Linked DNA regions of Pelodiscus sinensis. The protein of the gene in region 1 binds, or shares a complex with, the protein of each later gene. Links are inferred from orthologs where the notes say so. Each region holds a gene or a part of one and is shown on either strand. Other genes may lie near its edges.

Region 1 (6,900 bases):
AAATATTTGTCTCTCTGAGACAGCGAACAGCTAGCAGTTTTCTTGGAATTTGTGGGAGGTCTGCCCCCCCCTTTATTTTTTCTAGAAATACAGTCTAAGAATAAAAGACAACAATGGCTATGAGATAGCATTAGAAGAGAGGAAAAAAAGGTGGTCAGACAGAAGCTACAGTATGTACATTATGCTTGAGTAGGTATCTGACAGAAGCTGTTTATGTGTATGAAATGTCACCAGATACAGCTCATGGGAGAAGATATCCAAGGAACTGAAATGTAACCGGGATGACAGAATTCAGACAGGCATGTCTAGGTATAATGCAGGAGAGGAAAGATGAATCGGTACCAACACCACAAGATCTAAAGATATCTGCTGAACAAAAAGAGCTGGAGAGCAAATTGCCAGAAGAGGATGGTAATCTGTGGAAAAACATCATGAGGACAAGGCAGAAGAAGAAACCACCTAGTGGTAATGAAACTGAGTTGAGGGATACATTTGTTGCACTGGGAACTGACAGAGTGGCAAGGAAGAAAAGAAGGGAAGTTCCCACTGTATCAGAGGCAGCAGTGGAGGGCAGCAGCCAGCTCCTGGGAGCACAACATGAGTGTAACCGTTTACAGTAACCGATAATCCCAGGGTTACCGGTTAACTGTTTAAATGATTATCCTGTTATGCCCCTACTTTCTAATCAAGCTATGAAATAATCTGCAAAGTCTGTGAAAATCAAGTTATTGAGCAAGTATAAACAGTGAACATAAAATAATATTCCCAGTTATAGTTTGCTCCTGTTCATGCACCAGTTGGTTCTCTGAAGTCTAGTAGGAACCTTATCTCAAAATAAATAGGCAAGCTAAGTATACCTCCATGAACCTAGGGTAATGCTAAAAGGACAAAGTGAAGGAAGCAGTACACAAAACTGATTAAGCAGTAAGTTAGAGGAAGCTTGGGAAAAAACTTTAATCTTCCCTATTAAATAAGTAATACTGCAAAAGACACCCAAGCAGGCAGATTTGCTCAAACCTTTCAGATACTGGAAAACTGAAAATAAAAGGAGAATGAGCAGTACAAGAGAATATAACTGCAATAAATAGGATGAAATTAAACAAAGTTCAGTATGAATATCAGAAAGAAAGCTTTTGACACTGCTATTTCAGAAGTCCCCTCTTGTGAGATTTAAAACAAACAGACTGAAGTGCTAGATACCATCCTATGAATCTCAGAGTCTTTTGTTTCTCTAACTTCAATAATTCAGTTTCTCATACTGCCCATCACTTTTTACATAATTAGCCTTATGTGCATGGTATCAAAGTGTTTAAGCTCCTGTACAGATTTTCTTCATGGTTCACTGCAGGAGTGGGAGTAGAAAGAGGATGACTAATAGTTTAATCAAGTATGTTTCTGAAGGGTAAAGATGATCAAGGAGCATCAAGGTGGAAGACCACAACCAAAATTTATCAGAAAAAAAAAAAGGAGGAACAAATATTACGTAATTCTCAAGTAAATAGTTTGAGACCAGCAGTCTAACACTTTTAGTCAGTCACACCATTAATTTCCAACTCACGTCAGATCATTTCCCATTTAAAATCTAAGATTATAACTGATGTACAACCCCACCCCTCCACCCACACACTTTCACAACTGTACCATTTGTGTTTGACAGCACTGTATGCAATTCAGTGTCATAGTTTCCTCTGTACAATCAGTGTCTACTTTTATTTGTTGGGTCGCACAAACAACGAGGGAGTGAAAACTTTTCAAAATAATGTATAGAACGACAGGAGGCACTTTTAAATCCCTTTTAAAGCTGCACTTGAAAAGGAATCCTCTGAACTGTCATTCATGCTAAAATTCGACACTCTATGTGGGGGTCTCAACAAAGACTCTAGCTATCTTACCCATTACAAAGATAGCTTCCCCAATCACCACCTCTAATACCATTAGTTCACAGACATTTACCTTCCCCCACCCCTCTCCATCCACCTTCTGTTCTGAAATTTGATTGTCCTTTTCATAGGTGTTCATTTTTTAAATTGTATCCTTTGGTATATATGGTTGTGACTATTTTCTTCCACTATTTGATCTGAGGAAGTGGGTCTGGCCCACGAAAGCTCATCATCTAATAAACCATCTTGTTAGTCTTTAAAGTGCTACATTGTCCTGTATTTTGCTTCAGGAGGCAACAGAGAATTCCTGTTCAAGTTCTTAAATGTGGGAACACCGGCTTTAGTTTAAAACTATTGAGGTTTCACATGAAGTATTCTTTTTAATAGATTTAACTGCAAAATATTCCAAAATAAGCAACTCACAAATCGAATCTTGGACAGCACAACTAATCTACCACTTCTACCCAACCTCATCTATTGGCCCATTAAGCTCATATTCTGTATGAAACAGCACCCAGAACTACATGCCCCAAAACAAAAATCCTGAGGCTTGACCTGAACAAGCGCCAGAACAAAACTACAGCGAGTCTCTGGTGGCTTCAGGCTCCGGAAAAACGTTTTTACCAAGTTCTCCGACTGTGGGGATCCCCCCGTTAGCAGCGCTCACCCAGGGAGCGACTGGCCAGCGCGACACGCCTCTCTGCCCCAAACCGTGAGCCCTCTGGACCGAAGGGCAGTGGAGCGGGGCGCTCGCAGGCCCCAGGAGGAGGAGACACCCAGCGCGGGCCGAGCCGCTCGCCCCAGCCCCGGGGAGCGCGGAGCCGCCGGGGAAGCCGAGCCCGCGCGGTGCCTGAGGCCGAACGCGGCCAGGCCCCCCAGCAGCGCCCGGCTCCGGCACGCGAGCGCCGCCGCTCAGGATCGGGGCCCCGGCGGCCGAGCACCGCGCGCCGCGGGGCGGGCTGACCTGTGGTGCCGTCTCTTCCGCGGGGCGGGGGGCGGCGCGTCCCGCCGGGGGGCGCTGGGGAAGAGCAGGGAGCGCAGCGCCTCCACCAGCCATTGGTACATAGGCCTCGGCCACCGGAGGCGGAAGTGCGGCTGTTTCGCGCGACGGCGTGACGTCACGGACGGAGCCCTCTCCAGCAGGCGCGGGGCGAATCGGCGCTACCTGCGCGCGGGGACCCGCCCGACCCCTTCCTCATTGGCCAGAGGCTTGTTCGGTCCTGATTGGGGGAGAAAAGGGAGGGGCGGGGACCGAGCGCCGCGCGCGTCTCTGCATCACCTTTGGCGGAGGAGCGCGCGTCTCATGGCGGTGGGCGGGGCGAGCCGGGCTCCGCCCCCGCCAGGCACCGACCCGGCTCCCTGCCACTCGCTAGTGCCACAACCCCCATCAGCACCCCCACACACACACCCCTCCCCCACTGACCAGCACACCACCCGCAACCCCCACACACACCCCTCCCCCACTGACCAGCACACCCCCACACACCCCTCCCCCACTGACCAGCACACCCCCCCACACACCCCTCCCCCACTGACCAGCACCCCCTCCACCCCCACACACCCCTCCCCCACTGACCAGCCCCCTCTACCCCCACACACACCCCTCCCCCACTGACCAGCACCCCCCCAACACCCCTCCCCCACTGACCAGCACCCCCCCAACACCCCTCCCCCACTGACCAGCACCCCCTCCACCCCCACACACCCCTCCCCCACTGACCAGCCCCTCCTCCACCCCCACAAACACCCCTCCTCCCTTGACCAGCACCCCCCCAAACACCCCTCCTCCCGTGACCAGCACACCCACCACAAACACATCCCTCCCTCACAGCACACACACCCCCACTCCTTACCCTGGCAATGCCCTCTCCCACCAACACACCACTTCACACTTTCTCCTCTTCCCCCCCCCCAAAAAAAAGCCACCCCTCTGTTTTCCACCAGCTGTTTCCTCCATCAATTTCAACAGCAAAGATTCATTCCTGGTTTCCAGCTACTGCTCACCTTCAACATTTTACCTTCTAGTGCTGGAGTGCTGCCCATTGCTTGGGTTCATGCCTCACCCTCCCTAGCATGTTTGTTATTTACAGAGCTCATGGTGGTTCCACACCTGAGCAATACACACAAATTGTTGATGGGCACCATACCAGAAGGTACTTGGTAAAGTCTTCAGTTTTGTGACTAAGCAGGACAAAAAATGTTAAACACTTCAGAAATGACCTGAGGAAGAGCTGTGTGTGAGATCCTAACCTCATCTCCCTCTGCCAAGCAAACATTGGTCCAAGAAAAGATTACCTCACTCAACTCACAATTTCAAAAATTAGTTTTGAAGCCCATTTCAAAAGCTATGTAAAATGTGTTCACCTTTTCAAAACAACTTCTACTATTCAATTAGGCATAGCCCTCAAAATCTGAAAGTACAAGTTCTTTTCATTATATGGACGTGGGGCGGGCCAAAAATAAAAATAAAATACCTTTTCTGAACATTACAAATTTACCCATGGATGGGCTGTTGCTTCTCTGTTTTCCTGAGACCTTTAGAGGTGCTTAAGTAACAAGGCTTCTCTATCGCACAGCTGACATGACGGACAAGAGGTGCAGCAAGAGTCCCTGTGCGTCATCAGTCTACTTTGCAATATACAAGCAGCTAATTTAGCAGTTCTCCACTACAGGGTGTAGCATACCAGTGATGCGTACAATCAGGTCTCCTGCTCATGGCTGAGCAATGGAATATACTAGCCTTAAGGAGTGATCTTTCAGCCTGATCTGGTAAGCGCCTGACACTTTCTGTATGAAAAGTGGACAAGAGCTGGTATGCAGCAGGACAGAGAGGTCTGGCAAGGAGAGATGCATTTTTCTGTCCTTAGGAATATCCATTCCGATTTGTGACAAGTTCTACACTGCTGAAGATTGTAACTTACCATCACAGCTCTCTGTCACCATATTAAAATACCTCAACGCCATTGATCTTCCTGTCTGTATTGCCCTAACGTCTCACTTCATTGGATCACAGAATTCATATGCCCAATAAGAGAATGGACGATGATCCTGGTGTTGCTTCCCTATTAAAACAGCCTTTGGCGTAGGAGGATGTGCATCATATTGGAAGGCAGGCATGCATGTGTTCCAATTTCATTTCCACTGACTGTTGATAAGTGGCTCTCCTTCCCAGTTGTTACTAAACATATCCCTCAAAGAGATTACCTAAGCTGGAGATAGAACCCAGGAATATGAATACAGCCAACCCAAATTTCCTCTCAGAAAGCACAGGGCATATCTTTTTCCTTAACTGTGCAGTCTGTAAATTGGGGTTATTCATGCTTACATAACACACTGAAACAGCTGATTATGCATCCTCCTCTAATGCAGGCTCACATAAGAACAGCCTCCTGCTCCCAGCCAGCAAAACCTGGTAGCCCAAGGAACAGCCATCAACGTTAACAGGTGTGGCTCCAAACCAACATGCTGGGGGTGGTGGGATTACAGTTGCACTTAATGGATTTTTTTTACCTTTTCACTGCAAGAAAAGCCAAGGCATTACATTGACAAGCTGCATTAAAAGAACTTAGGAAGGTTCACAGGGGTAGCTGTGTTAGTCTGTAACAGAAAAAAAAATTAAAAACCAACAAATGGTTGTAAAGTCACTCACTCAAGCTAGGAAATGCTCATGAAATATTGCTAATGACCCACAGAACTTTTCCCCTGTAGGACACCAATTTGAATCTAGCCCAGTTCAGGAGGGATTATAAAATGTTCTCCTCAACTGGCTGTTTGCTGGCCAGAGATGAAGGGAGATCCTGCAGCATAGAACCCTCCCTGCCACCCACACATACATTTCCCACCACTTGACCGATACAGCAGAGAGGCCATGAAGAGTAGATGACCCCAGCCATCATAATGTAAGCCCTTTCCCATACCTACCAAGGGGAAGAAAGATGAAATTCTCTGGCAGGGTCACAGCTGCTGCAAGCTTGCCCTACATTACCCCACTGTTGATATTACAAATGTGTGGTTCTACACAAATCAGTTCCTTACATAGTTTGCATGGAGCATCACCCAAGAGACCCTGTAAGTTTGGCAGCTGAGTCACCACGCCTGGCTTCTGCTCTGCTCAGCCACCTTACTTCCCACCCCTGCAATTACTCACAGCACCTGCTTCCAAACTCACTTCTACAGAAGGCCTGTGGCCAAGGCTCCTCCCAAGCAGCTGAACCTCTTATAAAGCCTCTCCTCCCTCCCTCCAAAGTAGCAGCCTCTATTCCCTTTCAATCAGCTGTGTTCACCATCCAGCAGCCAGGCAGCCTTAATTCAGTTAATCCCTTCTTTTCCAGCTTTCAAATCCCTGCTCATGGGAAGCGGGGAGTGCCAGGCGATACGGACAACCTCTGACAGGCTTTTGATCTCATTTCCTCAGTGCTGTTATTGTCTTTTCAGTCAGCCATGTCAGGTGAAGCCCCTATTGACCTTTGAACCTGACCAAGCCAACTGAAAAGTCAGCAAACTGAAGGGCTAAAATAAGAGGCCAAAAAATATAAACAACTATAAGGTTAAAAACCTCAGGAACAAATATTGCTCAGTCACTCAGGACACGCAGATTTTCCCCTTGTTCAGGACTCTGCTCTGAATATTCTCTGCTTAGCTCCTATCCTCTGCATAGCCTGCCCCAAAAGTTCAAACTCCTAAGGGTTACGTCTACACTGGCAGCTTCTTGCACAAGAACTGTTATGTTGAAGAGTTCTTGTGCAAAAAGTCTTCCACAAGAGCATGTCTACACTGGCATGTGCTTTTGCACAAGAGCATCTATGGCAGTGTGGACATTCTCTTGCGCAAGAAAGCTCTGATGGCCATTTTAGCCACAGGGGTTTCTTGCGCAAGAAATTCATGTTGCCTGTCTACACTGCCCTCTTGCGCAAGAGGGCTTATTCCTCGTGGGGAGAGGAATAACTCTTCCAGAAGAAGCCCTGTTTTCTGACTCGAGTCTGTAAATTTACTTGCACAAGAACGCACGTGCAGTGTAGAC
Region 2 (7,669 bases), about 390 kb from region 1:
AGGAACTGCTATCTCTGTTCCTTATGTGTATTGTGTAACTTGTATTGCTTCTACAAGGGATGTATGTCACACTGATGTATGTGAATTATTGCTTTGTATGCACATACGTATTCTCCTTTGCAAATGTATGCTTACAACTCCTTCCACATACATACATGTATTTATATGTATACATTTATGTGGTTTTGTATGCAAGTCTTTTAATAGAATCTATGGCTAGAAGGAATGTGCGAGATCTAGTCTGACCTTTTGTATAACATGTCTTGTATATGTATTAGCACAACATGCCAGGATCCATAGGAGCCAAATACATTCCCCAGTGTATGTATACGTATGTGCACTTTTTGTGCACTGGTCTGAATTGTGTGCATTTATTTGTATACATGTCTGTTACTATTGTATATGCAGGAGTTGTGCATACATGTATGTTAGTTGTGGGGTTTGTGCATCTATGCATACTTTGTGGGGGAAATAGCATCTATGCATACTTTGTGCATGTTTTGTACATGTGTGCATCCATGTTGGCATGTGGATACACTATAAACAGCTCAGGATGCATGTTTATGCATGTCTTTTCATTTACAAAAACATGTGCCTGTTTTCCTATATGCTCATACATGTTTATGCAGGCATATTCATTAGTGTATATTGGTTCATGTTTATTTCTATGTGTATATATGTTGGCCATTGGCCACACAGAGGGCTATAGCTATCTATATGTCCATTAGTGTACATGGGGGTGTATTTTGCATGTGTACACGGGAGAGTCATGAGCAGTCACACAAGGGAACACAAGTACAGGCGCTCCCAGACTTGTGATGTGATTGGTTCTGGGGGAAGCGGTGCAAGGCGGGGGCGTTGTAACTCGAACCTACGTTTACAATAGGTGCCATGCGGTGTTGTAATTACAGGCCAAGGATGTAAGGCGGGGGTTTCCAGCCCCTTCCACACTTACAAAAACGGTCGTAAGTGGGTGGGGGGGGGGTCGCAACTTGGGCTGGATGAAAGGGGGGGGTTTCCTGTATTTGTACGCCTCTATGCAGCCTCAGTTGCCCCATCTTTAAAATGGGGAGGACAGTACCACGCTCAAGCTGCGGGTGCACAGTGGCGGCTCGGAGCCGGACATTGTGTGTCTGTGCTGGGGGGTGTCAGACAGGGAAGGGGCTGCCAGGGGCTACCCCCTCCACCCCCCCCCTCGCCCACCAGGCCAGTACTCCTGGAGGGCAGATGTAATTGTGGCAGTACCAGGACTTGGGGGAAGCTGCCCCCCCTCCCTCAGGCTGTGGGAGGCGCTGCCCCAGGGGCCCCTGTGCTGCCCCCCCAGGCTCTGAGAGGCGCTGCCCCGGGGCCCCCGTGCTGCCCCCCCAAGCTCTGAGAGGCGCTGCCCCGGGGGCCCCGTGCTGCCCCCCCAGGCTCTGAGAGGCGCTGACCCAGGGCCCCATGCTGCCCCCCCCAAGCTCTGAGAGGCGCTGACCCAGGGCCCCGTGCTGCTCCCCCAGGCTCTGAGAGGCGCTGCCCCCCCCCCAGGCTCTGAGAGGCGCTGACCATGGGGCCCCCGTGCTGCCCCCCCCAGGCTCTGAGAGGCGCTGCCCCGGGGCCCCCGTGCTGCCCCCCCAGGCTCTGAGAGGCGCTGCCCCGGGGCCCCTGTGCTGCCCCCCCCCAGGCTCTGAGAGGCGCTGCCCCGGGGGCCCCGTGCTGCCCCCCCAGGCTCTGAGAGGTGCTGCCCCCCCAGGCTCTGAGAGGCGCTGACCCGGGGGCCCCCGTGCTGCTCCCCCCAGGCTCTGAGAGGCGCTGCCCCGGGGGTCCCCGTGCTGCCCCCCCAGGCTCTGAGAGGCGCTGCCCCGGGGCCCCTGTGCTGCCCCCCCAGGCTCTGAGAGGCGCTGCCCCAGGGGCCCCCGTGCTGCCCCCCCAGGCTCTGAGAGGTGCTGCCCCCCCAGGCTCTGAGAGGCGCTGACCCGGGGGCCCCCGTGCTGCTCCCCCCAGGCTCTGAGAGGCGCTGCCCCCCCCAGGCTCTGAGAGGCGCTGCCCCCCCCAGGCTCTGAGAGGCGCTGCCCCGGGGGTCCCCGTGCTGCCCCCCCAGGCTCTGAGAGGCACTGCCCCGGGGCCCCTGTGCTGCCCCCCCAGGCTCTGAGAGGCGCTGCCCCAGGGGCCCCCGTGCTGCCCCCCCAAGCTCTGAGAGGCGCTGCCCCGGGGGCCCCGTGCTGCCCCCCCAGGCTCTGAGAGGCGCTGACCCAGGGCCCCATGCTGCCCCCCCAAGCTCTGAGAGGCGCTGCCCCGGGGGCCCCGTGCTGCCCCCCCAGGCTCTGAGAGGCGCTGCCCCAGGGGCCCCCGTGCTGCCCCCCCAAGCTCTGAGAGGCGCTGCCCCCCCCAGGCTCTGAGAGGCGCTGACCATGGGGCCCCCGTGCTACTCCCCCCAGGCTCTGAGGCACGCTGACCATGGGGCCCCCGTGCTGCTCCCCCCAGGCTCTGAGGCGCGCTGACCCGGGGGCCCCCGTGCTGCCCCCCCAGGCTCTGAGGCGCGCTGACCCGGGGGCCCCGTGCTGCCCCCCCAGGCTCTGAGGCGCGCTGACCCGGGGGCCCCGTGCTGCCCCCCCCCCAGGCTCTGAGAGGCGCTGCCCCGGGGCCCCCGTGCTGCCCCCCCCCCAGGCTCTGAGAGGCGCTGCCCCGGGGCCCCCGTGCTGCCCCCCCCCAGGCTCTGAGAGGCGCTGCCCCGGGGCCCCCGTGCTGCCCCCCCCCCCCAGGCTCTGAGAGGCGCTGCCCCGGGGGCCCCCGTGCTGCCCCCCCCCCAGGCTCTGAGAGGCGCTGACCCGGGGGCCCCCGTGCTGCCCCCCCCCCAGGCTCTGAGAGGCGCTGACCCGGGGGCCCCCGTGCTGCCCCCCCCCAGGCTCTGGGAGGCGCTGCCCCGGGGGCCCCGTGCTGCCCCCCCCAGGCTCTGAGAGGCGCTGCCCCAGGGGCCCCCGTGCTGCCCCCCCCCAGGCTCTGGGAGTCGCTGCCCCGGGGGCCCCCGTGCTGCCCCCCCCCAGGCTCTGGGAGGCGCTGCCCCGGGGGCCCCCGTGCTGCCCCCCCAGGCTCTGGGAGGCGCTGCCCCGGGGGCCCCCGTGCTGCCCCCCCCAGGCTCTGAGAGGCGCTGCCCCGGGGCCCCCGTGCTGCCCCCCCAGGCTCTGGGTGGCGCTGCCCCGGGGGCCCCCGTGCTGCCCCCCCCAGGCTCTGAGAGGCGCTGCCCCGGGGCCCCCGTGCTGCCCCCCCCCAGGCTCTGAGAGGCGCTGCCCGGGGGGCCCCCGTGCTGCCCCCCCCCAGGCTCTGAGAGGCGCTGCCCCGGGGGCCCCCGTGCTGCCCCCCCCCAGGCTCTGAGAGGCGCTGCCCCGGGGGCCCCCGTGCTGCCCCCCCCAGGCTCTGAGAGGCGCTGCCCCGGGGGCCCCCGTGCTGCCCCCCCCCAGGCTCTGAGAGGCGCTGCCCCGGGGGCCCCCGTGCTGCCCCCCCCCAGGCTCTGAGAGGCGCTGCCCCGGGGGCCCCCGTGCTGCCCCCCCCCAGGCTCTGAGAGGCGCTGCCCCGGGGCCCCCGTGCTGCCCCCCCCCAGGCTCTGAGAGGCGCTGCCCCGAGGGCCCCCGTGCTGCCCCCCCCCAGGCTCTGAGAGGCGCTGCCCCGAGGGCCCCCGCGCTGCCCCCCCCAGGCTCTGAGAGGCGCTGCCCCGGGGCCCCCGCGCTGCCCCCCCCAGGCTCTGAGAGGCGCTGCCCCGGGGGCCCCCGTGCTGCCCCCCCAGGCTCTGGGAGGCGCTGCCCCGGGGCCCCCGTGCTGCCCCCCCCAGGCTCTGGGAGGCGCTGCCCCGGGGCCCCCGTGCTGCCCCCCCCAGGCTCTGGGAGGCGCTGCCCCGGGGCCCCCGTGCTGCCCCCCCCCAGGCTCTGAGAGGCGCTGCCCCGGGGCCCCCGTGCTGCCCCCCCCAGGCTCTGGGAGGCGCTGCCCCGGGGCCCCTGTGCTGCCCCCCCCAGGCTCTGGGAGGCGCTGCCCCGGGGCCCCCGTGCTGCCCCCCCCAGGCTCTGAGAGGCGCTGCCCCGGGGCCCCCGTGCTGCCCCCCCCAGGCTCTGGGAGGCGCTGCCCCGGGGCCCCCGTGCTGCCCCCCCCCCAGGCTCTGAGAGGCGCTGCCCCGGGGGCCCCCGTGCTGCCCCCCCCAGGCTCTGAGAGGCGCTGCCCCGGGGCCCCCGTGCTGCCCCCCCCAGGCTCTGAGAGGCGCTGCCCCGGGGCCCCCGTGCTGCCCCCCCCAGGCTCTGAGAGGCGCTGACCCGGGGGCCCCCGTGCTGCCCCCCCCCCAGGCTCTGAGAGGCGCTGCCCCGGGGGCCCCCGTGCTGCCCCCCCCAGGCTCTGAGAGGCGCTGCCCCGGGGCCCCCGTGCTGCCCCCCCCCAGGCTCTGAGAGGCGCTGCCCCGGGGCCCCCGTGCTGCCCCCCCCCAAGCTCTGAGAGGCGCTGCCCCGGGGCCCCCGTGCTGCCCCCCCCCAGGCTCTGAGAGGCGCTGCCCCGGGGGCCCCCGTGCTGCCCCCCCCAAGCACTGTGGGGCGCTCCCTTGGCCCCTCCATGTTGGCGCCCCGCACCAGTTCCGGTTCCCCGATGACGCACTTCCGAGCGCCCCGCCCTGCCTCCGCCCCTAAAGCGCGCCCCCGACAAGCATCGCTCGCGAGCGCGCCTCGTGAGCGCGCGCCGGCACGTGGCCCCCGCCGGAGCCAATCAGGGGCCGGGGATTCGGGGGGCGAAGCGCGCGCTCGCGGGCAGTTGCGGCGGTTGCGAGGCGGGAGCCCGGAGCGTGACTGTGCCCGCGCCAGGCCGGACTCGTCCGACGCCGCCATGTCCGAGGAGAAGCCCAAGGTAACGGCCTGCGCGGGACGGGCTCCCCCCGCCCCCGCCCGCGAGGGATGCCGGGAGCGCGGCCTGGCTGCGGGCCAGGCCCCGGGAGCGGCCGCGCGGGGCCGTCGGGGGAGCGCCCGCCCCGTGGCCCCGCCCCAAGCGCGGCCTGAGGCCTGGTGTGGGGGAGGGGCGTCCGGGTAGGGCCTGTGGCAAGTCCCTGGGCCCGGCCCCGCCCCCCAGGGGACCCCTGGCCCGGGAGCGGGGGGGACGTGCCCCGGCCGAGGCCTCGCCCGGCTAGCCGGAACGCCCAGCGTGGCCCGGGGGCTCCGGCCCGGCCGTGGGGTGAGACGCCCAGCCCCTTTCGGTACCAGGCGCGCTCACACAGAGAACACGAGCCGTCGGAAAGCGGGACCTGGACGTCGTCTGGAAAGCCACCGGCTGGATTGCCACTTCGGGACTCGCCATTGAAGAGGAAGAGATTTGTGCCAAAAGATGGAAAGCGAATCCGTTGATTAGCCAATGCCTCTTTCAGGTGGTCCCTGTACATTCTTTAAGGGACGGTGTTGCAGCAGTGCACAGAAAACGTCCTTGGTACGGGCTGGCATTGGGCCTCATTGATGGAGGCAGTGGTACTTGGTGGGTTCTTGCTCAGTTCTTTGATTCTGAAACTTGTGGAAGCTTCTGACTTTCCTCTTCAGGGTTTTAACAATTGTCGGTCATCAGCAGCGCTCGACAAGTCATTGAATCTACTCGCCACGTTTCTTCCGGTCGCCCCATTCATCGGCGGCGCTTGCATGTGCAATGCGGGTCTTGCGCATGCGCACTGCGGGGCTGGTGAACAGATTTCGCCACTGTTTGTCAAGCCCTGGTCATCAGGATCTTGAGAAACTGAAGAACTTCTTGTCACCTGGAACTAGAACACTCATTCTTAAGCTGATGATAATTGAGAAACTGTTAAGTTTATTTAGTGGGATGAGGAGGCCAGAAATTAAGTGTTTGGGAATTACTGAGAAGACCTGTGTGACTAATCTTCAGAGCCCATGTGTCAGGAGGTATGGTTCAGGAGGAGAAAGTTCTTCAGTCTTCCTGTTGAGTTGATGGGCTCCTTGGCTGGCAAGATTTTGCTGTATAGAAAAGACGCTTCCACCTGTTGCCTGATGCAAGAAAAGAGATGAAAGATTTGGCAACCCTGGATTTGTTGGAAGTTGTGGTGACTGAAATTTTCCCTTGAATCCCTGAAAGAGCATTGGTTGGGCAAGAGCTCATTTAAGTCTCAAAAATTCTTTGGTGTCTTTTTGAGGGATCCCATGAAAAGTGTAATTTCACCAAAAGGCGTTTCAATGACAGAGGTGATGGTCACAGGAAAGTATCTTGAAGAGCCTGCGGTCATGGCATTGTTTACGTTGATTGAGAGAGAGAGACCCACAATTGGTCAGTTCAGTCCAGTCAGTAGTCAGGAGTTCTTTTGGATTCCTCACTAACATTGATTGAGCTCTCACTTGTCAGTATCTGCAAGCGGTGCTTACTTCTGTGTCTGTTTAGCTAGGGAAACTCTGTCCCATCTAGATGGACAAAGAGCTGCTAGTGCAGAAGGCTACAGCACATCAGCAGCAACACAGACATATCACATCTGTCCTCTGTCCTCTATGCTGGCTTCCCATAGAACCAGCAAATCAAGGTTTCAGTTGTTACCTTCAAAGTGCTCCTTGGCCTGAGCCAAGTACCTAAAGGATTGTCTAAAACTCAGAGGCAAAGAGCATGGTTAACAGCTCTGCTCCTGTAGCACTGTAGAAATCTCAACAATAAGAGTAAAGCTTGTCTGTGCAGGAGACCGATTTCTTCAGAGGTTGTCTGAGATGCTGGAATGAGCTACCCCAAGGATGAAGTACCACCACAAACCTCACCATTTTCTGATTCAAGGGCAAGACCCATCTCTTTCATCTAGCCTTCTCCACTCTTTAACAACATATATTTATATAAAAAAAGCCGTAGGGGTGGAAGCAGACACTACTGAACAATCATACTTCCCTGAACACGTTTCTCCCTCTAGGGAGAGGATGAGAACAAATAACATATGACAGTAGTCACATCACGCAGCATGTTACTGGAAGGCGTTCAGATGCTATTGAGATCCGTGCATTGTAAAAGCATATAGAATGAGATTGACCTAGTAGGTCTATGTCCAAAGCGCTAAGCCAAGCTAGAATGTTTCAGAAAGAGTCCTGCTAGAAAACTTAGCAATGATGTAGATTGTTATATAGGAAACAGAGTGCTAACTGGTCAATCTTTAGCTTTTTCTTGACTTTTGTGGGCAGTCTTAGATTTAGGATGTTGCATGGAGTGTATAATAAAGATGTGAGCAAAAACAGGTGGTGTAAAATTGTTTTGTAGGACAGTGAGCAGATATTCAGAGACCCTTTCCAGTGAGTTTTTAAACATGTGGCCCACAGAATCCTTAATGGTTCTTTTCCTTCCACTGAGATTAGAAAGTTCGTGTGCTGGAAGCAGTCTTAAGCTGAAAGAAGGGAGGCTCAATCTAAGGGCAAGGAGGACTGGATTTTCCTAGCTGTACTTGGTGTAGCTTTTCTGTAGCTCTGCTCTTAGATATTTTTTTTTCTCTGGATTAGGGATGTTATCCGGTTAACTGGCAATCATCACCCTAAAAGGCTAATGCTTATTGGGTCGTCTTAACCAGTAGGGTGCTGGAGCAGTAAAGCCTCCTGCTCAGGAGCCGCTCTTACATGCAGAGCTTACCCATTTGTGTTGATAACTTGTGTGAATGTTTATGATAGGGATGTTAAATTGCGTTTAATCAACTAATTGACTAGTGGCTCTT

Evidence for each region. The genes of interacting proteins can lie anywhere in the genome.
Region 2: the proteins of SENP2 (region 1) and SUMO3 are in contact, whole or in part, in a crystal structure (PDB 2IO1), measured with the Homo sapiens proteins. The link is inferred for Pelodiscus sinensis from reciprocal best matches to the Homo sapiens genes SENP2 and SUMO3. Residues at the interface, in NP_067640.2 of Homo sapiens: Gln385, Asp386, Phe393, Lys394, Leu395, Arg396, Trp410, Leu411, Asn412, Asp413, Glu414, Ser439, Thr440, Phe441, Pro444, Lys445, Arg456, Trp457, Lys459, His474, Lys476, Val477, His478, Trp479, Met497, Gln499, Gln542, Asn544, Gly545, Ser546; in NP_008867.2 of Homo sapiens: Arg55, Arg58, Arg60, Phe61, Asp62, Gly63, Pro65, Asn67, Asp70, Leu75, Asp81, Asp84, Phe86, Gln87, Gln88, Gln89, Thr90, Gly91, Gly92, Val93, Pro94, Glu95.

The regions. Positions count from the first base shown.
Region 1 is NC_134720.1:3,563,645-3,570,544, forward strand, and holds the start of SENP2 (sentrin-specific protease 2), read right to left. Parts: upstream 3,004-6,900; 5' UTR 2,946-3,003; coding exon 2,845-2,945; intron 2,791-2,844; exon of another isoform or gene 2,548-2,790; intron 1-2,547. UniProt on the Homo sapiens protein: Protease that catalyzes two essential functions in the SUMO pathway.
Region 2 is NC_134720.1:3,174,926-3,182,594, reverse strand, and holds the start of SUMO3 (small ubiquitin-related modifier 3), read left to right. Parts: upstream 1-4,669; 5' UTR 4,670-4,833; coding exon 4,834-4,854; intron 4,855-7,669. UniProt on the Homo sapiens protein: Ubiquitin-like protein which can be covalently attached to target lysines either as a monomer or as a lysine-linked polymer. Does not seem to be involved in protein degradation and may function as an antagonist of ubiquitin in the degradation process.